5 linked regions of the Danio rerio genome follow. The protein of the gene in region 4 purifies or fractionates together with the protein of the main gene of each other region. This does not show direct contact. Links are inferred from orthologs where the notes say so. Each region holds a gene or a part of one and is shown on either strand. Other genes may lie near its edges.

Region 1 (4,167 bases), on a different chromosome or scaffold from region 4:
AATTTGTGTCATACATGAGCTCATTTGTAGTATATTGATTGCTATGCCTTCATCAATTTTGCAAAAAAAAAAAAAGAAACACATTGAAAAAGGCTTTAAGACCAAGCAGAATCGTCTGGCCAATGTAAATAATTATTTTTCATGCTGAGTCCAACATTCATCTGTGCAAGAAAACATCTAATCTGATCTAATCTTGGCTATTATTGTAATGCTCTACATTATTAAAATGTTTGAACTTTTTTATTATTCAAAGGGCCTAATTTTGACTGAGAAAAGTTGAATGTGCATGCCAGCTTGTTATTTGGCGAACAAATGACAACAGACAACAGTTTTTAATTTTAAACTTTAACAGATGCTTATTATTTTTCTATTGATATACTTATTAATTTTCTTTTCAGCTTAGTCCCTTTATTAATCCAGGGTCACCACAGTGGAATGAACCACCAACTTATCCAGCACATGGTTTAAGCAGCGGATGCCCTTCCAGCTAGGAAACATCCATACACACTCATTCACACACATACACTACTGACAATTTAGCCTAACCAATTCCCCTATACCACATGTCCCTGGACTTGTGAGGGAAATCAGAGCACCCGGAGGAATCCCACACGAACACGGGGAGGACACCACACAGAAACGCCAACTGACCCAGCCGAGGCTCGAACCAGTGACCTTCTTGCTATGAGGCAAACGTGCTTCCCAAAGCACCACTGCATTGCCTGTTTTTCTAACGATGTATAAGTGATAAATTTGTATTTAATAAAAAAAATCTTTATTCCAAATATTTAGGAAATATTTTTGGTACATCAAAAAGTGTGGTTTTGACGACAGGGTAATCCAGATAAAAATAGTGCTTAAAATTTCACTATAATGCAGTATTTAATCATAAATAATTGCAAAAAGATATACTTTTTGAGAAAAAAGAAATACCCCTTTCACCAGGATGGCTACGGACCTGTTTATGTCGTTGATGTTCGTTGCATGGATTTTACCTGCTTTTCATTGATTCTGAGATCACCAAACACAACAAGTTGGATACATTTTCCCATAAGCAGGAGAAAACAGCACAGTGTATTCACAAGGACCTGAAGAGAATAAAGCAATATTGGCTATTACTACAGTAGCGGCACTTATTTCATATAAGAGGAATATACTGTATCAAATCTAGATTTCAGTACAGGTGCCACATTCTTGGACATTTAATCTCACCATTTATTCCATTTATAAAGAAAAAATGTGAAAAAAGTCATGCTTAAAATGTAAATCGATGTTCCCTTCAGAAATTTCCCTTGCAAATTGAAAAGTTGAATTATCTCAATTGATATACTCTAAAATATTACAAATTGTCATAGAAAAAAGACTTGTTAATTAAAATTTAGAGGCAACAAACATTAATTTTATTTAAAAGAAATAGCAAACATTGATTTTTAACATTGCTATTAAGACTTCATTTATGCAAATAAATAAAGAAATTAATGAATGTAATTATTGCAAGAACAAACAGAATTAAAACTGAATTAAAACCGAGTTTTAGTCATTTTACCAGTATATTTTAGGCATAATATACTGTAGGTCCACGTGTTGACTCACTGACCCATATAACTTATGCTACTCCTGGCTCATGTAAGAATTGGACCACTTACCCACATGCATAAGCTCCCTGTAGTGTGACACCACAAACCAGTTGAATATAATTCTTCGTTGTTGACATTGTCATCGTCTGTCCTGCCGGAGGGTGAGTCCTGAGAGAGATTTTTCTCAATAAGCAAATCTTTGTCCTCGTCATCGTACAACGAGTAGATGCATCCTGTCAGTAAACATGCACTGAACGCTGTGTACGCCTGAGTGCAAGGCCAGGACAACACATCCATAACTGTGTTTTTTTTTCTGTCTATATAACTTATCAAATCTATCAGATACTTGAAGACGTTAATATTTAATTTCAATCGTTTTAGCACTGCAGAAACTAATCTTTTACTTCAAGGCGAGCCTTAGCGGTGTCACTGAAGAGGGCGTAAACAAGACTGATTTACCTCCAAAACAGATGTCGAACATACTCATTAAAATCAACTGAAATGGCGTTATTTTATGAAAATTAAGGATACATGGGAATGTATTTTTATATTGAACTTGAAAAAAAATTAAAATTTCAGATTTCTTTCAACTCTGGTTTCTTTTTTTTAAATCAGCGTTATTTATATTAAATGCAAACAGTAAATCAACTTCTGGGTATTCTCTTAAAAATTGAGAAGTACGTTAACATTTACTGAATTTGTATAATTTAGAGATCTGTTCTACAAAACGCCACAAGGTGGTGCAATTGAGTCAACAATGAGACTCGTTGAAAGTTGTCTGACTTGTTATGAGAATGTCTCAACATTGCCATATTTGTTAAGTGCTATAAATCGTTCATAGCATGTTCAGCATTTACATGTGCAAGACACAAAAGCTAAGAGGGGATCTAGTCCCGTGTTTCTAGAGCAGAGATGCCCATACCTTTTCTTATGAAAGGCCAAAAACCAAACTTGATTGAGGCTACCGGCCGACGGTAAATATAGTAGCCAATGGGTAATTTCCTAATTTATTTGATAATTGATAATATTTAAAAATAATGAGAAAACATTGCTTTATATATATATATATATATATATATATATATATATATATATATATAAAGAGAGAGAGAGAGAGAGAGAGAGAGAGAGAGAGAGTATACATATATATTACATTCTACAATAAACTTAGAATAAAAACAAAAACAAACAGTATTCACAGTTTGAAAATCAGATTTATTTACAACATTTAATTAAAGCATTTAATTCAGTTTCTTTTTTTTTCTTTTTTTTGTAGCTCAGCAATAAACCTTGCCCATAGGCTCTAATTTGGGCATGGGTTAAGTGGATGACTATTCTCAGAGATGTATTAAAATTGTATTACAATTCCAAATAACATGTATCTAAAATATTTTAAAATGTCTGGTTGTAAATTACACAGTAGCGATTTATTATTTTATTTTTGATTAATTTATTTATAGACTATATTCTATATTTTATTCTATTTCTTATTTTTTATATATAATTGTAGCTTATTATATCAATTTTATATTAACACTTTACAGTGTCTAAGAGAGCTGAACATGATGCAATCAAATAATGATCACAAATTCTCAATGCAATAGAATATAAAATGGGCTGTAAATGTCTATAGCCACAATGTAACTTTAATTGGCTACACAACTGCAAAACCTTTTTTTTTAAACACTGTAATGGGAATCTACAGGCCTAAATTGATCAAACTGCAACACTTGAAAAGAGCAGCACTTAAAAGTATGTTTTTGGTGTTTTCTTTACATTATCAGGCTTATAGTCAGCCTAGTGAAAGGGGTCGTTCTTTTTTCTCATATAGTGGACCTTTTTGCAGTTGTTCGACTAATATTCTATTTAATTAGGAGATTTAAATACTGCATTTTAGTGACATTTTAAATACATTTTTTTTTTGGATTAGCTTGTCGGATGGTCACACTTTTTCATGTACACTAAAAAGGTTTTCTAAAGATTTGTAATAAAGAATTATGTCGAGGCTATTATTTTTAAGCTACTTTATAATACAGCACTAGGGGGGAAATAGCAGTCTGTTTAAATTTTACATTTAAAACTGTGGCCTATTTTCATTTTAGTCAAACGACAAACTGACCAGCACATTCAACTTTTCTCAGTCTCAGAATTTGACCATTCGAATTACAAAATAAATAAATAAATAAACATAATGATAATGTAAAGCTTCACCATTTTTCTAGCTTCTCTTGTAAAAAAAAAAAAAAAAAGTACATTTGAAAATTCATGGATAACAACAATAGCCAAATATGTATTAATATGGGCCATTTTGGTGCTTCACAACTTTTTATTAGTCATTTTTTCTTTCAGGAATTAGGTCCAAGAATTAGAATAAAAGTTACATTAAAAATGTTTTCTCTGGGTCTCTGTATTTTCAATGGGTTATTTTGATAACTTGTAATGGCATAACAGTCAAAACAGGACAAATGAGGGGACAAATATTGGACCTTTGTCAGACTTGAAAAAAAATGAATATAAATTCTTTATCAAAAAGTTTTTTTCTTTTTTTTCTTTTTTGTGTGTAGTGTCTCGCATAAACACTTGAAGTTAT
Region 2 (4,241 bases), on a different chromosome or scaffold from region 4:
CGCGGGGAAGCCTTCATAAACTGAGGAGCGATCACAAGCTGAGGAGCGGGAAAGGGGGCGAGGTGGAGCGACAACGCGGGGAAACCTTCACAAACTGAGGAGCGATCGCTAACCGAAAGCAGCGAGTGCGTCAAAGTAGCCAGAAGTAATTCATTTATAATGAGGACCGGCGGCGAGGAACAGCGCGGCGTGTCTTCTCCTGTGTGGGCATAGAGGAGAGTTGAGATCAAGTCAACGATATGATATGAGCTATGACGCGGTTCGGCGGCAAGCAATCAGAATGAAGTAGTCCACCGCTTAAGAGGAGTTCAGAAAACACAGACCAGTGAACTTTGGTTCCGTCCACAGTTTTTCCCAAGAGTTTGATTACTGCGGTTGTCAGTTTTTAATTATTGAAAATAATTAAAAAACGCAGCATGTAGCCCACAGTCAGAGCAAATTTCCCATCTGTAACTTTAATCTTCACCAGCACATGTGACCTCCTGTTAGAAAATAATTTCGTCATTCGAAGTTCATAATAGTCCTAAAGGTGATGATAATAGGCAAGGCAAGTTTTAGTTATACCTGGTAATGGTTATACCTGCCAGTTTGTTCATGTTTTAAATTGGTGAAAGAATGATTCGCTCTTTCGTTTTTTGGCCTTATCCTTTGTTTTTTCGCACTTCACTCTCGCATTAAACAAAAACAGGATACGGCAGATTTTGTCCTTCTTGGCTTTGTGGCTGTACATCAAGTCAACAACAAGGTTTGTCTGAGCTCGGGTCAACCATGGCACATTATTATATGCATATATTATAGTATTACAATGTAATGTCTCGGCTGTGTATTTAAAAATGTCTTTGTTTTCATTCTTCTGCTTATGATCGAGTGACGCTTTTCTGTAAATCAGTAGCGTTCAGCTGCATGTCTTGCTTCACCTTTTGGTACTTTTTTTTGCCATGCTAGGTACCCTTTGCAAAGAGTCCCCAAAAAGTGGTAAGGTATTGTTTGCTTTTAGGTACCTATTCAGTGGAAACGGCCATAAAAGCGTACTGAACTGAACCGTACCACTTAGTCTTAGGTTCTGTGTGGTCTAGGTTGCTGTAATTAATTTTGGTGGTTCCTGCACATGTCAGTAATCAGAAAAAATGTCTCTATCATAATCTATGTAAAAGTTATTCTATTCCAACTGATGGGAGAACGGAACCACTTCTGGGGGTATTGGGCCAGTACGGCCCTTTAAAAAATAAAGAATGCGGAAATAAATGATGTCACGGACACGGTACCAGGTACGCAGAGCTTAAGAGAGCTAATTTGGTTAATTTTGTTCGCATATAAAATTATAGGAGAAATAATATAGTACAATATATGTAGAGGTCAGTCCATGGGTTAGTAATATCCATCCTGATGTTTATTTAGCATGTCACTGCATCTCATCAGTTGAAAACAACTACGCATACAACCCTTGTGTACAGTTTAAATTTACCAACCCTTTCATTATATTCAAGGCTACTTTTGCCCTATTGACTTGCATTATAATGACATTTTGATTACAAAGCCATGACACCATATAATCATGCATTCTTGGTTGTTGATGGTTTTATCTGTTAAGAAGAGTTTGTTTAAAAAACAAACTCTTCTTTTTTGTTTAAAAAAGAATGTTTAAAAAGCATTTTCTCAAAAAATCATTCCATTTGCTGAAACAAAGAGAACGTTGTGGTCTAATTAACATTCACAATCACCCCAGAGAGGATAAAACAGCCCAACAGCACACAAGAAGGGTTAAAAAAATAAAGAAATTTCAAGAAGGATCAACACACTCAGTGAAAATGTAAAATCTCACCTTTAACAAGACCAGGAACTCAAATATTCGTCTGAAAGATGGTGGGAATAGTCTGGCGTATGTGACTGCCATCTTAAAGAATAATGCGTGGAAGAGTCTGTCTCTCACGTTAATCAAGGGGTTCTGGTTCATTGGGGGGTTACGAATCCGGTTTGGCCCACCATTATTATTGTTGTTCAGTGGAACGTTGTTGTTGTTCACATTGCCTTGGTTGTCAGACATGGTGATGATTGTTCAGTAACTTGATAAGGAGAAGGACCAACTAAGGTCAGGGAGAAAGCTATGTGATAAGATCCAGATGAACAGGCCGAGCACACAACATCAGCTCACACTAATGATGGGTCTGGTTCTCAAAAGGTGAACTGACCTTCAGGTATCGGCACCAAAAGCCCGGGAGACGCTGAATGTTGTAGGGATGTTGGTGGGCAAGGCTCCTTCCACTCCTACCATGTCATATTCTCGCGAGCTAACAGACTACTCTAGTTTTGGAGCTTTTACAAATTTGCTGCACATGCAGCTTAAATATTGTCAGACCAGAGGTGCATGTCAGTCTGTTAAATTTAGTTTTAAACCCAATTTGTCTTGCAATTGTGACTCAGGCCTCCAGCATTCACTGTCACCCCAACCAAACACGTTCATTTAATGCCTCAGACACTAGACTAAATAACAATATTTTGTATGGAAGTTAAATCTTACCTAGACAGTCTAGCTGAACTTTAAAAATGAATGAAAATTCAAACAGCACATATAGCGTAGTCTGCTAATAGTCACAAGCTAACAAGTTAGCCGAGCTTCCAGTGAAGAACCCGTATGTTCGGTTTACTTTTTGACAAACGCCTTCTCACATAACGCTGACACTCTTCAATAAAACAAGACATCAGATACTTGATGATGTCCCACCAGAACCACCCGATGGCAGCAACTGTAAGCTGTTTTACGAATCATCTGTTTACACAACCATTTTCTGAAGCGGAGCGGACTTGGGAGCAGCAGTCAGGAAGCTTTTAATGAGGGAAGCAGTTCCACTCTGGTTTTGCTTCCGTGGTAAGTCACGTGATTTGGCCAAGGGATCTGTTTTTTTTACTCAAAAGTCTAAAGGATTCCACAACAACAAAATTAATGAATGAACGAATAAATAAATATATAAACATATAACATAAATATCATGCGTTTATTGTTGTTTCTGGTTTCTCCAAATCGTATTAATTTATTATTGCGTCACGTCATAATAGAGTGGAAAGGCTATTTAGTACAGCATCTATGGTACAAGTCACGCAGTAGAAGTAAGTAAAGATAAACATGCATAGCGCTTGATTGCGGTGGGGATGACCTCAAAATACGAAATAAGCATATTTTTCATGAGGATTGTTTAGATTTCTGCTATTTTATTAGAGACAATATTATTTGTAGTTCAACTTTGTTTGCAAATGTTTTAATTGAATTTTTACTATACATAATTTACAAATATATTTGCTCAATGTATTCATTCTGTTTGGAAAGTTTAGTACAAATAATTTCAAATACAAGCCATTATTTTATTCATTTTCTCTGCGGTCACCACAGCGGAATGAACCGCCAACTTATCCAGCATATGTTCTACACAGAGAATATCTTTCCAGCTGCAACCAACCCATCCAGTACTGGGGAACATCCATACAGTCTCATTCACACATACATTCAATTCACCTATACCTACCACTTCTTTGAAACCGGAAACCGGAGCACCTGAAGGAAACCCGGGGATAACATGCAAACTCCACACACAAATGCCAACTGAACCAACAGGGACTCGAACCAGTGAACTTCTTGCTGTGAGATCTCAGTGCTGCTAACCACTGAGCCACCATGTCGCCTCAAGTCATTATTTGTGATTTTGAATCAGAATTTAAGCTTTACTTTCCCAGGGATGGGTTGCGGCTGGAAGGGCATCCGCTGCGTAAAACATATGCTGAATGAGTTGGCGGTTCATTCCGCTGTGGCAAACACCATATTAATAAAGGGACTAAGCTGAAAAGAAAATGAATGAATGAGTTGCTTTACTGAAAAATGATAAGCTGTTAGCTGTAAATATTGCCATGTTTTCATTTGATGTGCGTATTATGGAAATAATAATAAGCAAAACAATCTAAATTTGAATTGTGTTAATTTGAATTAGACAATTGTAATTTAATAAATCTGAATTTTTATATGCCGTTAAAAATTGTTTTGAATTTCTTAGTTTGAATTTTCTAACTTGAATATTGAAATGTAAGACAACTGAATTTTTCAAGGCGGAATTTTTTATAGACATATTCTCAAACGTTTGATTTTTTGTGTTAAAATATTACAGTAGGCTATTTTTTGACTGAAATGCATTGAAATCAAAATGTCCAATGGGTGGCGCTAAATCTCTCTTTGTCACTGAATTGTTCATTCACAT
Region 3 (4,004 bases), on a different chromosome or scaffold from region 4:
GGTTTCCCCATAGAAAATATAGTTTATATAGTATTAAATCAATAGAAACCTATGGTACGTCCTCACAATACACAAAAAGAAAAGTGTGTGTATGAGTATGTGTGTGCGCATTTTTACCTCTCTGTTGTTCACGTGAGCATTGTGTGGACAACCTTGACTCCTTATCTTTGGTAATAGCGAGGACCTTCAACAGAGAGAGATGATGACATTAATATACAGCTTATGTTCGCCTACTGTACCAAACTAAGAAACCTCATATAAGAATGAAGGACTGAGCTCATAGTAATTAAAGGTGCATCCCTGAATTAGAGTGAAAATCTAGGCAATCATCAATAAACTAAAACCGAATTTATCCTATAATATTTGCTTCACTGGTGTCATGGTGGTGCAGTGGGTAGCACAATCGCCTCACAGCAAGAAGTTCGCTGGTTCTAGCCCCGGCTGGTTCAGTTGGGATTTCTGGCATTTAATACTAAACACCTTATTACATAGATTTAATAATTTAGCAGACACTTGTGAATTACAAATGAGGATAAGAGAAGATCAAATCATCACAGAGCCGCAAGTTTAAGTTTATTAGGAAGCTTTTTATTATTATTGAGTACATATGTTACATGAAGGCATAGAAAACAAATGAAGTAACCACTTGGGTCACTTAATAAAATAAGAAAATGTTCTACGTATTTAAAAAAATCTACTTATTTTTTTCTGTGTGAAGTTTGCATGTTCTCAACATGTTGGTGTGGGTTTTCTCCATAGTGTTGTGTGTCAATGCAAGAGTGTATGGATGTTTCCCAGTATTGGGTTGCAGCTGAAAGGGCATCTGCTGTGTAAAACATATACTGGATAAGTTGGCAGTTCATTCCACTGTGACGACGCCTGATTAATAAAGGGACTAAGCCGAAAAGAAAATGAATGAATGATTATTTGCTCAACTTGTATTCAGTGATTAGTCAGGATAGTATGACTAGGTGCACGTCTACCAAGATAACACAACACCACACGGAACCTTATCAGTATTTAGAAATAAATGTAATAAAGTAGCAACAATTAAATCTAGAAATCCTGCATTCAAGATATCCTGATATAACTGTCTGGGAATTTGAGAGGTGTTAGAGTTTAAAATAAAGTAACATTATGGTTCTGAAGAGCGTGTTGAACTCTGTGATGTCATGTGGCAGTTTGTCTGTGCGGTGTATTTTATTGCTTCAACATACCATAACACAAATGACCTGCAGTCTCAGGACACAACACTTCATCATAACACATGTGTACATGTAGAAAGAAATAAGTAGAAATGTAGAAAATGATGTTCCCTAAGTATAACACATAAAGTGCAACTTACTAATTTCTGGCCAGTACTTGCTCAATTATATAACAAAATAAACAGTCGTACTACATTTGATTACATTTAAATTGAATGTCTTGCTGACAAATGCATTATAACACAGTGTTGGATTGTTTCAAATAATATTTGGGTCAAATATGGACAAACGGTTTAAGGTTTAGATCAAATAAAAAGCTAAATACATTTTAAAATGTGGCATAGTGGCAAAGAATAACGATTTAAAATAACAATTAGTATCTAATGGCTTAAAACAGTATTTCTCAACCACGTTCCTGGAGGACCACCAACACTGCATGTTTTGGATGTCTCCTTTGTTTTTCACACCTTTATTACAGGTCTTACAGTCTCTGCTAATGAGCTGATGATTTAAATCTGCTGTGTTTGATTAAGGAGACTTGGAAAATGTGCAGTGCTGGTGGAACATGGTTGAGAAACACTGGCTTAGAGGGATAGTTCAACCAAAATTGAAAATTTGATCTCTGTAAGCGGTTCCAAACATTTTTGTATTCTTCTGTTTACCACAAGTATAATATTTAGAAAAAATCTATAGATAAAGAATAATCTATGTATGTTATAATCAATGGTTACTGGTTTTCAACGTTTTTCAAAATACCTACATTTGTGGAAAAAGTCAAACATGTGGAACCACTTGATTGAGGATGAGTAAAGATGACAGAACAACTCTAAATAGCTTTTTAATATATTTTCTAAAGATTCTTGCTCTATATATGTCTGACATGCTTTTATTTAATCTAAACTGTAGTTACACTGGATTACATTCCATGACAGATTTAAATAAATCATGATAAAAATGTAAAAAGGGACATTCTAACACTTCAATTACACTGTAAAAAAAGGTTTCTGAAAAGATGAATGGGCACAGATACAGTGCTCAGCATAATTGAGTACACCCTGTTTCGAAAATAAATATTTTTCTCCAATTCTAAGTGAATATAGTCAATGTATTTTGTTGCATTTAAACAAAACTAATTTATTAAACAGGTCTTATATTTATTAAAATAATATTGTAGTCACCAAACATATTTAGAAATTAAAAGTTAATTTAATTAAATTCAAAAATATTGCACAAAAAATATAACAACCTACAAAAAATTTAACTGAAATTTTCTATATTTTTGCTTCTCTTGGTTTTTCCTCTTTTTTTAAATTTGTATTTAATATTTTTCTAGAACATATATATTTGGGTGTGCTAGTTAACTACTATCATAAGTTATTTTGTTAGATAAGCTCCAGATTTGGCTTCAGTACTGACTAATCTAATGTATATGCACAAATATAATATTGTATAGCTTCCTATTAAAAATATGAACTTAAAAGACAGATTTGTGAGAGGTGTACTTATATATGCTGAGCACTGTATGTGCGTTAAATAAAATAAAGACTCACCTGTTGCTGTAGCTATGATTAGTGTGCATGTTTTCTGTTCGTAATTCAGTTGCTTTTCTCTGGTGGACGGCACTGACTGGAATACTTTCTCACTGCTTCCCTGTACACAGTAAATTTGACAGACGGTTAATCATTAACCAGGGATTCGGTCCCAAATCAGCCCCTTTTTTCAGAGATTAGGTAACTACACCGATTTCCTGTATATTTTCGTAATTTAGGAAAGATACTTGCAATCTTACTGCCCTCTATAATTTAGCCGTGCATGTAAATATGTATTGATTTAGATCATATGTGCGTAATAAAGCTAGGGTTCGTCCTCAATGTTGTATTTTTGTCATGTGACCACTATAGACACAGATTGAGAGTCTCCACCTACTTTAAGTAGGTTAGGTGTCTGGTTGACCTGTCAATGGTTTACCCTAAGTTTACACAATCTAAGATGCTGTCCCATATGGATTACCAAAGAAATGCATTTCACTGAGATGATCATTAAGTTAAAATAAAGCTAAAGCTGCTTTAATACTATACACCTTCTTACATACATTTAATAATTTAGCAGACACTTGTGAATTACAAATGAGCATAAAAGAAGATTAAATAATCAGAGAGCAGCAAGTTTAAGTTTATTAGGAAGGTTTTTGTTTATCATTATTGAGTACATCTGTTACATGTAGGCATAGAAAACAAATTAAGTAACCACTTGGGTCATTTAATAAAATAAAATAAAAGTGTTCTACTTATTTAAAACAAGCTAAATCAATAACAATTGAGTATTGTTTGACAGCGTAATTGTTTTATGTTCAATCCACTTAAATTTGTAAAAAGCAGTTAACCTAGGCCATTTGTGTTGAGACAACATGAAGGAATTGTGCGAAACCTTGCATTTTTTACATTGTTCTTAGTATTTCTGGATTTATGAGTTAAATATATGCAACTAAAACTTAATTGTTGTTTTGATCTGCATACTACTAATGATATCTTTTTCAAAATGTTAAAAAAATTGTAACTAAGCATTTTTTAGTTTGTGTAAAAGCATCGAATTTTTGATTAACTGGGGCATTTAAGGCTGTTTTAGCATCCATAAGGTCTTGATTGAAAGAAGTTGTGCCACCTGTTTTGGAGGCTTGCCTCAGCTTCTCTGGGTGTCGAGTTTTGCCGTGGTAATCATTTTATGGCTTTATCAAGGCTTAATGTGTTCTTGAATCTCAAGTTGAGAACACTTTTGACGATTAATAATTAAATCTGAGGT
Region 4 (3,500 bases):
GATCGTTTTCATTCTAAAATGCCGTTTTAAAACTAAAACGCACTAGTGTAAACAGGGCCTAAGAGAAGGAAAAAAAACACTCGAGGGCAAGTAAATAATAGTACAGTTTTGGATGAACTATACCTTCACATCAAAATGTAGAAAATTAGCCAAATTAAATGATCATTAGAATGACAGATGATGACTTTCAACATACAAATCTAAATGTTACTGTGGTATCTGTTGTGTTGATTTTGTTCTTTCATTTGTCTTGCTGGATTTATAGACAGTGCATTGCTTGCTGATGCTAAGTAAATTTTCACTTTTGAATAGACTATACCTTTAGAAGCTAGAGGAATTGGATGCACAAGATTTGTGCATGATTTATGAAAAATAAATAAAATAAAGTTCTTTGTTTTATTTTTAAATTGATGGATTGGTTTATATACATAAATGGCACTGACAATCTTTCAACATACAAATCCAAATGCTGCTGTGGTTACTGTTGTGTTGATTTTGCTTTGATTTGCTGATTTTGTTTGATTCCTGTTTTATAGACAGTGCGTACCTCGCTAGGCAGAAAGCAAAAGCAGATGCAGAATTCTACTCAGCGCAGAGAGCAGCGGAGGCCAATAAGGTAAACTGCTGAACTTGAACCCATCATTGTTGTGCTCAGTGTTTAGTGAACATGTTTTCAATCTTCTCTATTTCTCTTTCTTTTTTTTTCTTTCTCTTCTCTTAGCTCAAGCTGACTCCTGAATATCTCCAGCTGATGAAATTTAAGGCAATAGCGGCTAACAGCAAGATTTACTTTGGAAGTGAGATCCCTCACATGTTTATGGACTCTGGGCCAGGAAGCTCCTCCTCAGCTGCTTCCAAAGCCATCGACGTGCTCTCAGAGGGGATGCTGGACTTGGAATGACAACAGACAGAGCAGAAAGTTGTAGCACTGAGAATAAATTAACAGGTAATGAAAGAGACTAATGGCCAGTCATTAGACTACATTGTGCCAGTCGGTGCAGCTGAAACCACTTTCGTAAAGAATTATGATGCTGTATTAGCGGGACAGAAACACTACATGTGCATCTGCACCCCAGTGACTTGATCACAAAGCTGGTTCTTTTGGTTGAACAGACGGTTTTTCTTTCTTTTGAATAGAACATATGTGGACATTTGAATGTGAAATAAATGGATATTTTGTCCAAAAATTAAAATTCTGTCATTTACTCAGCCTCAACTTGTTCCAAACCTTTTATGACAGGGTGTCCGCAAGGTTTAAAAATGTCTTAAATTTCAAAAACTAAATTTTAGGTCTTAAAAAGTCTTAAATTCAGTTAAATATTTTGTTGTAGGTCTTAAATCATAATTTTAATTTTCCTATGTCCAAATAAAGCTGCCCAATCACCAATAATTCTTCTCGAAACTTATATGTATATAGGTTTTTACTGCAAAATGAGTCACAACAACTGTTAAACAGCAACTGTTTACAGCAACTTTTCCTAATTAAATTCCCTAAGCAGAGAAAGAAAACTAAAGCAACACATCCGTTTACATGATCTTCCATTAATACAAGAACTATTCGAAAAACTTCTTAGTGTTTAGCCCTGTGAAAGTCTAAAATGTCATTCATAATGTTTTTAAAAGGGTCTTAAATTTGACTCAAAGAAACCTGCAGAAACCTTGTATAAGTATATTTAGAAGATTTTTAACATCCTGAAGTCATTGGTTTCAGTAGTATTACATTTCTTACTATTGAAGTCAATAACTATTGGTTGCCAACAATTGTCCTTTGTTCAGTGGAAAAAAGAATCTCATAAAGGTTTCGAACCACTTGAGGGTTAGTAAATGCTAAGTACATTTTTATTTTTTGGATTAACTATACCTTAGAAACTAGTGGCATGTATGCACAAGATTTGTGCATGTATTACCATAAATCAGCTTCCTAAAAATATCTCTTTTTTTAACATTGAAGGATTGATTTATGTACTTAAAGGAATAGTTCACCAAAACAAAAAAGCATGTCGTTGTTTACTCACCTTTGTTTTCTTCTGATGAACATAACATTTATTTTGAGGATCTGTAACCAAACCATTGCTGGTCACCATCGACTTTCATAATACTTTTTCTCTAGTACTGGGGACCATCAACCTGTTGGGAACAAGTATTCAGAATTCAAAATATTTTCCTTTGTGTTCAGCAAAAAAAAAAAAAAAAATTAACTAAAGTTTGGAACCACTTAAGGGTGAGTAAATGGTGATTAAATTTCCATTTTTTGTTTGAAGTAAGTATTTAATAAACCAACTAAAAAGCATCTTAAAGGCTCTTACTCCTCAGGGATTCTTTTGTTATGTTGAAATGATTTTTGTTTTCTCATAAAAGACCCAATCCCAATTTATTTTTTAATTTAGTTGTCATTTGTTTTGCATTTTCACAGACTGTACTTGTTTTTTTCTCCATTGTTGGAGCTTAGGTAATTAAAAAAATTACTACACAGAGCAACTAAAGATCTTCCAAGAGGTAAAAGTGAGAAGATGGTTGTATAAACCTCCAGCAAAAATCTCGCATGAAAACAGATTAGCAAGTAGTTTTTATTAAATATAAAACATATTATTATAATTAAGAACTTTGGTGCAGTTTTAGTATTTTGAACTTCTCCATCTTATAGCAATGCACAGTGCACTATATAATGAGATTCTCTTTAATTGGCAGGCATTTTGTGCCTTATTTTAGCACTGATAGAGCAGGGCTGTGAGCTCGTATCCTTTCCAACTCTTCAGTCACTTTCATATTTCAGAGGACTTGAGTGTGGACTGCATCAGAAATGAGTCATTTGACCATTAAAAATCAGCAGTCTGTGGGCTGCTTCTCACCCATGGGAAGATGATTCTGCATTTTAGTTTTTTTTTTTTTTATCTAGTAAGTCATGTTTGGAATTTGTTCCGAGAAATGTTCCATTTCCACCAATATCCCCTCTCCCAGTGTTTCAAATTGTTATGTGTTAAGATCTTGTACAGTATCTTTTACTAGTAAACCATCTGGATCAATAGCTTGCCTCCATTTGTAATCAGAATTTAGTTGTGTTAGTTTACATTTATATGTGAGCAAGACTGCAACTTGAAGGATGAAAAAAGGTTTTCATCGTTATATGTATATAGAATCCAAAAATTGAGCAGCATACCTCATGTCTAAATGCATATATTGATGTCTCTTATGTTACTGTCTTTGAAAGTTGCACAGGATTTAATTTAATAAGGCTTTTTCTGTTTATTTGAACGCACTGGTGTGCAGACAAAGAACTGATTTGTTTTAAACATTGTAGCAGATTGCTTAATACTTCAAGACTCAACAAAACTTCCCAAAGACCTTTACTGTTCATGCCTGGGTTTCACTTTCAGAGTGTTGTCACGTTCACAATCACAAGAGTCTTTATTTGATGTGCATAACTGTACTTTAAATTGACTGTGTATAGGGTTGGTGACTTGTTTATACAGTAAAGATGTTTTTCTTAAGTCTTTGTATCT
Region 5 (3,950 bases), on a different chromosome or scaffold from region 4:
TTGTGCATAACACAAGAGGAAACTAACCACAATACATGAGTAATCAAGTACATCAGTTATTCTGTGGAATATGAAAGACTGGAAAAGGGGGCTGGTATGAGGGGCAGTTTCTTACCATAGCTAGTTGTCTGCCAATATTTCCAACAGTCACTCCGCCAGAGAAGAATATACAAGGCAGCCATGAACGGACATACAAGAAGTCTGGAGAAGTATACCTGGTAACAAATGAAGAAAAGGACTGAAATGACGAGCTGCTTAAAGGAAAAACAAAACTGAGTGTTTGCACTTGATATAATATTTGCTAATGTTTCTTACAAAAAAAACATGTTCTACGACTAAAATTATGAATATGTGAGAGTGTTAGTTACTTGCTAGTTGATATGAAAACAGTTTTCTGTTGCTGTTTGTCAACATGTTTGAGTCATAACTTACTGGTAGATGCCGTTGTAGACCAGCAGCTGAGCAATGAGAGTGGCCAGCAGGGCAGTGGTCAGCCCTAAACCAAAGCCACTCCTGGAGCGGTCAAATGTCCACCACAGACCCAGAGACAGGGCAGCCAGAGTTAGCGATAGCTGCACATTGTTAGCAAAGTCCAGTTTCTGTAAGGTACTTTGAGTTAAGCAAAATATTCTTATGTTAACATACATTTTGAAAACATTGTGATGTTAACTCAAGAATTGAGTTTGTGCAGGTTCCCAAGTTTTTGCTGGTCCACACATTTGGAGAGCAGTAAACAGGTTCCACAAAAACTTTGTAGTCAAATTTATTAAAAACTTTTTTTTTTAGTTCTTAAAAAACCCAGTTCTCATTTACATGGGGTTTCTTGGCAATGAAGTGCATGTTACTGTTTGAGTTCAGAGTTAATGTAAAGTTTTAAGGTATATTTACATGACAACAAAAAATAAAAACTTTTATGCATTTTTGCTGTTCATTTACCCAAAAACACAGACTCAGAGTCGTCAAAACAAAACTTAAAAAAGGTTAAATGATATCGTGTGCAGAGTTTTCAACTTCTGGCCGGGTCAGAGTACTGAGCATTTCTAGTCATTTTTCAGCGTTATTACAACTATCCTCAATACATAAGACTTTTTAAAAATATTAGATAAGCATAATTCTCGTTGCATAGATTATTGCTGTGTAAATATGTTTAGTACTTTAACGGGTCACCCCACTTTTTTAGTTTAGCCTTTGATGTATAATTTGTCAAGATAAATTCAGGTTCAGACAAAAACAAATAAATATGTGACAGTTAAGAGATTAAGAAAAAAAAGGATTTGTCTAATGCTATTGAATAGTAACATGGCTTATTACAGACTTAAAACAAAAATCTCAAAAAGGTTTGGAAGTTTTCATTGTCCACAATGGTTGCAACTGTAAAAGTGTCACTGTTAAGGATACAGCACTGGCGTGATTGATGCCCACAAAGACAGCAATGCAGCGCATCACGCTTGCCCACTCCCGCTTGAACTTGTGTGGTTCTCCAAGATGGTGGTCCAAGCAGGGGTACAACAGACCAACCACAGCTGAGAAGAGAAAACAGAAAGTACTTTAAACAACATTCATTGAAAGGGGGAAAAAAGAAGAAGAAAAAAACATTTTTTACATCTGCTTGGTATTGTTTGACGCCTTTTAGTATATAAATAATGGGTGATGACTTTTGTGTTTAAATAAATCTCATAAGAAGAGTTCAAGTACAACAAAACTCTTTAAAAGGCATTTTCTACTGAAAAGGATGTAAACTGATACGCGTCCACATCACCACTATGAGGAATGCAGGGGGAGGAGTCGAGCGTGACCGAATTATTTATTAATTTCTGCTGCACACGACTTCCGTGTTTCTCTTTTCGGGTAAGTGGCATGTTCGGCGTACCAGCCAATGGCGTGCCTCTCTCGCAGCTCACCCGTTCTGAGCGCAGCCAATGAGAATGCAGCACCCCAAGAATGACCCCAAATGCCCGGCTGTTACCAGGGCAGCGCTTACTGATAGCTACAAAGCCCAATGTCAACAAAACTGTCCCCGAATCACTCATCTTACATAAAAGACACGATAACAAAAAGCCCTCAGCAAGCACACCGTCTTTGTTTGTTATCGTCACGAACAAAGCATTCGAGCCCAAGTGTTTCAGACAGACTCACCAGCAGCGGTGCCACAGCAGAGGGGAATCCACCAGGCGGACGAAAATAGCGTGTCCAGCACTTCCTCTGGAAACAATGTAACGTTTCTCTGGATCTGTAGCAAGTTTAACACCAAAGCGAGCACAACTCCCACGATAAACAACACAAGCCCCCGTCGAATTAAATTGGCGGACTGGAGGCTGTGCAGAGAGCCGTACGCGTGGCTCAGCACTGAGGTTATGATGGACATCATTTCACCCGTTTTACAGACAATCCAGCCGGCGCTTGACAGGTCCTTCGTCTTCACACTGGTCGAACAGGAGCAGCTCCAACAATGTTCCTCTAGTCTTGGCATTTGGCACTGTTGGAAAACAGTAATACTCATTAATAATTATCACTAACTTGATCAAATAAAATAATGTTGAAAGTCAAGTATTACGCTACAAAAAGCAGTGCTGTAGCCCAAAAAACAATCTGTTCCCAATGAGTATGAAGTGGAAGTAAAGGGAATGAATAGGCTACCCACCTTGATCTTTTAGCGATGTCTTCGTCTAAAGCAGAACACGTCTGTGCTTTCAAAACTCTTTTACAAAAACGAAAGGCTACCTACAAATAGTTTAGATGTGTTGTTTGATCACATCATCTGTAAGAGAAATACTGCTGCCTCTTTTCATCCCTCAGTTGAACACTGCCACACGCGCGCTTCCTCTGCAGAAAACAAGCGCGGTCATGTCTGGTGAGTCTCTCTAGCCAATCAGAGTGCGGCGGGCCATATGACGCGAACGCGCGCCACCCCTCTCTGACAGACACGCGCTGTTGATGTTCGCCATCAGCTGTTCGCCTTGTGTGTGTGTGTGTGTGTGTGTGTGTGCGTGTGCGTGTGTGCGTGTGCGTGTGTGCGTGTGCGTGTGTGTGTGTGTGTGTGTGTGTGTGTGTGTGTGTGTGTGTGTGTGTGTGTGTGTGTGTGTGTGTGTGTTGACGCTATGCCAGAGTCATGCAGAAAAGTCTTAAACTTCTAGATTGGTTAAGTTTAATGACCTTGCTTTGCTAAATCCTTTTCAGTAACTAAGCAATACAGCACTGATTCGAGATTTTCTCAGTGTTCAATATTGCTGTTCTCCTGTTTGCACAAAACAAACTACTTGTTGGGTAAATGTATTTGTAATCTTTTCAGGGTACAGACAAGAAAGCTTTTTGCTGATATGAACTTTTTTTTAGTTCACTATGAGTGAACAGGCCCTGAAAGTGTATGAGATAATGCGGATTTGTTGGCTATACGTGACAGCGTGCAGTACGTGTCCGTGAGACTGAAAACAAGAAATCAGGTCATGATGCTCAGTGGGCTGTTCCCCCACTGTAAATAAACTTGTGTACTTATAGTTTATTGATTCAGAGCAGAACAGAGTTCAGTCTCTTACCTCAGTGGAACCACTCCTCACCAGATAAATGAGTCTGATGTTTGCCCCTTGTCAAGAATGACTGTCAACAACTCTTTAGCTGCTGTTTTTACAATAAAGGTTCCAAAATGGGCTTTTCGTTGCAGTGCTAGAAAATAACCATTTTTGATATCTAAAAAGCTTTTGTGTTGATGAAAGTTCAGAAAAGAAGCATTATTTTATTGGTGTGAAAGACATCCTAAACACATTAATGAACCTTTTTTCAACAGAGAAACTTATGTGCAATGGAAACGTGCTGTGGATGTTAACGAGTCACGAAACACCAAAACACATTTTTTTGAGATGTTGACAATCATAAATATGACTCACGTTGCTAAAACACTATTAGGACACATATATTTCACAAAAAAGTGAAAATTGGTGGGTTTTGCAATATTT

Evidence for each region. The genes of interacting proteins can lie anywhere in the genome.
Region 1: the proteins of erlin2 (region 4) and amfrb purify together in Homo sapiens (affinity purification with western blotting; 4 studies listed by BioGRID and IntAct, with this or other methods). This does not show direct contact. The link is inferred for Danio rerio from reciprocal best matches to the Homo sapiens genes ERLIN2 and AMFR.
Region 2: the proteins of erlin2 (region 4) and tmem259 purify together in Homo sapiens (affinity purification with mass spectrometry; 3 studies listed by BioGRID and IntAct, with this or other methods). This does not show direct contact. The link is inferred for Danio rerio from reciprocal best matches to the Homo sapiens genes ERLIN2 and TMEM259.
Region 3: the proteins of erlin2 (region 4) and si:dkey-183n20.15 purify together in Homo sapiens (affinity purification with mass spectrometry; 4 studies listed by BioGRID and IntAct, counting the BioPlex papers as one, with this or other methods). This does not show direct contact. The link is inferred for Danio rerio from reciprocal best matches to the Homo sapiens genes ERLIN2 and RNF170.
Region 5: the proteins of erlin2 (region 4) and insig1 purify together in Homo sapiens (affinity purification with western blotting; 4 studies listed by BioGRID and IntAct, with this or other methods). This does not show direct contact. The link is inferred for Danio rerio from reciprocal best matches to the Homo sapiens genes ERLIN2 and INSIG1.

What each region holds. Positions count from the first base shown.
Region 1 is NC_133182.1:35,353,821-35,357,987, reverse strand, and holds the start of amfrb (E3 ubiquitin-protein ligase AMFR-like), read right to left. Parts: upstream 2,801-4,167; 5' UTR 1,875-2,800; coding exon 1,647-1,874; intron 1,089-1,646; coding exon 996-1,088; intron 1-995. UniProt on the Homo sapiens protein: E3 ubiquitin-protein ligase that mediates the polyubiquitination of lysine and cysteine residues on target proteins, such as CD3D, CYP3A4, CFTR, INSIG1, SOAT2/ACAT2 and APOB for proteasomal degradation.
Region 2 is NC_133186.1:14,596,432-14,600,672, forward strand, and holds the start of tmem259 (membralin), read right to left. Parts: upstream 2,801-4,241; 5' UTR 2,190-2,800; exon of another isoform or gene 2,085-2,189; 5' UTR 2,045-2,084; coding exon 1,823-2,044; intron 1-1,822. UniProt on the Homo sapiens protein: May have a role in the ERAD pathway required for clearance of misfolded proteins in the endoplasmic reticulum (ER). Promotes survival of motor neurons, probably by protecting against ER stress.
Region 3 is NC_133195.1:28,154,386-28,158,389, forward strand, and holds the start of si:dkey-183n20.15 (RING-HC_RNF170 domain-containing protein), read right to left. Parts: upstream 2,801-4,004; 5' UTR 2,785-2,800; coding exon 2,756-2,784; intron 185-2,755; coding exon 118-184; intron 1-117. UniProt on the Homo sapiens protein: E3 ubiquitin-protein ligase that plays an essential role in stimulus-induced inositol 1,4,5-trisphosphate receptor type 1 (ITPR1) ubiquitination and degradation via the endoplasmic reticulum-associated degradation (ERAD) pathway.
Region 4 is NC_133180.1:36,109,605-36,113,104, forward strand, and holds part of erlin2 (erlin-2), read left to right. Parts: intron 1-536; coding exon 537-616; intron 617-721; coding exon 722-901; 3' UTR 902-3,500. UniProt on the Homo sapiens protein: Component of the ERLIN1/ERLIN2 complex which mediates the endoplasmic reticulum-associated degradation (ERAD) of inositol 1,4,5-trisphosphate receptors (IP3Rs) such as ITPR1.
Region 5 is NC_133182.1:41,359,972-41,363,921, forward strand, and holds the start of insig1 (insulin-induced gene 1 protein), read right to left. Parts: upstream 2,801-3,950; 5' UTR 2,642-2,800; intron 2,477-2,641; 5' UTR 2,471-2,476; coding exon 2,137-2,470; intron 1,524-2,136; coding exon 1,399-1,523; intron 784-1,398; exon of another isoform or gene 600-783; coding exon 433-599; exon of another isoform or gene 216-432; coding exon 116-215; intron 1-115. UniProt on the Homo sapiens protein: Oxysterol-binding protein that mediates feedback control of cholesterol synthesis by controlling both endoplasmic reticulum to Golgi transport of SCAP and degradation of HMGCR.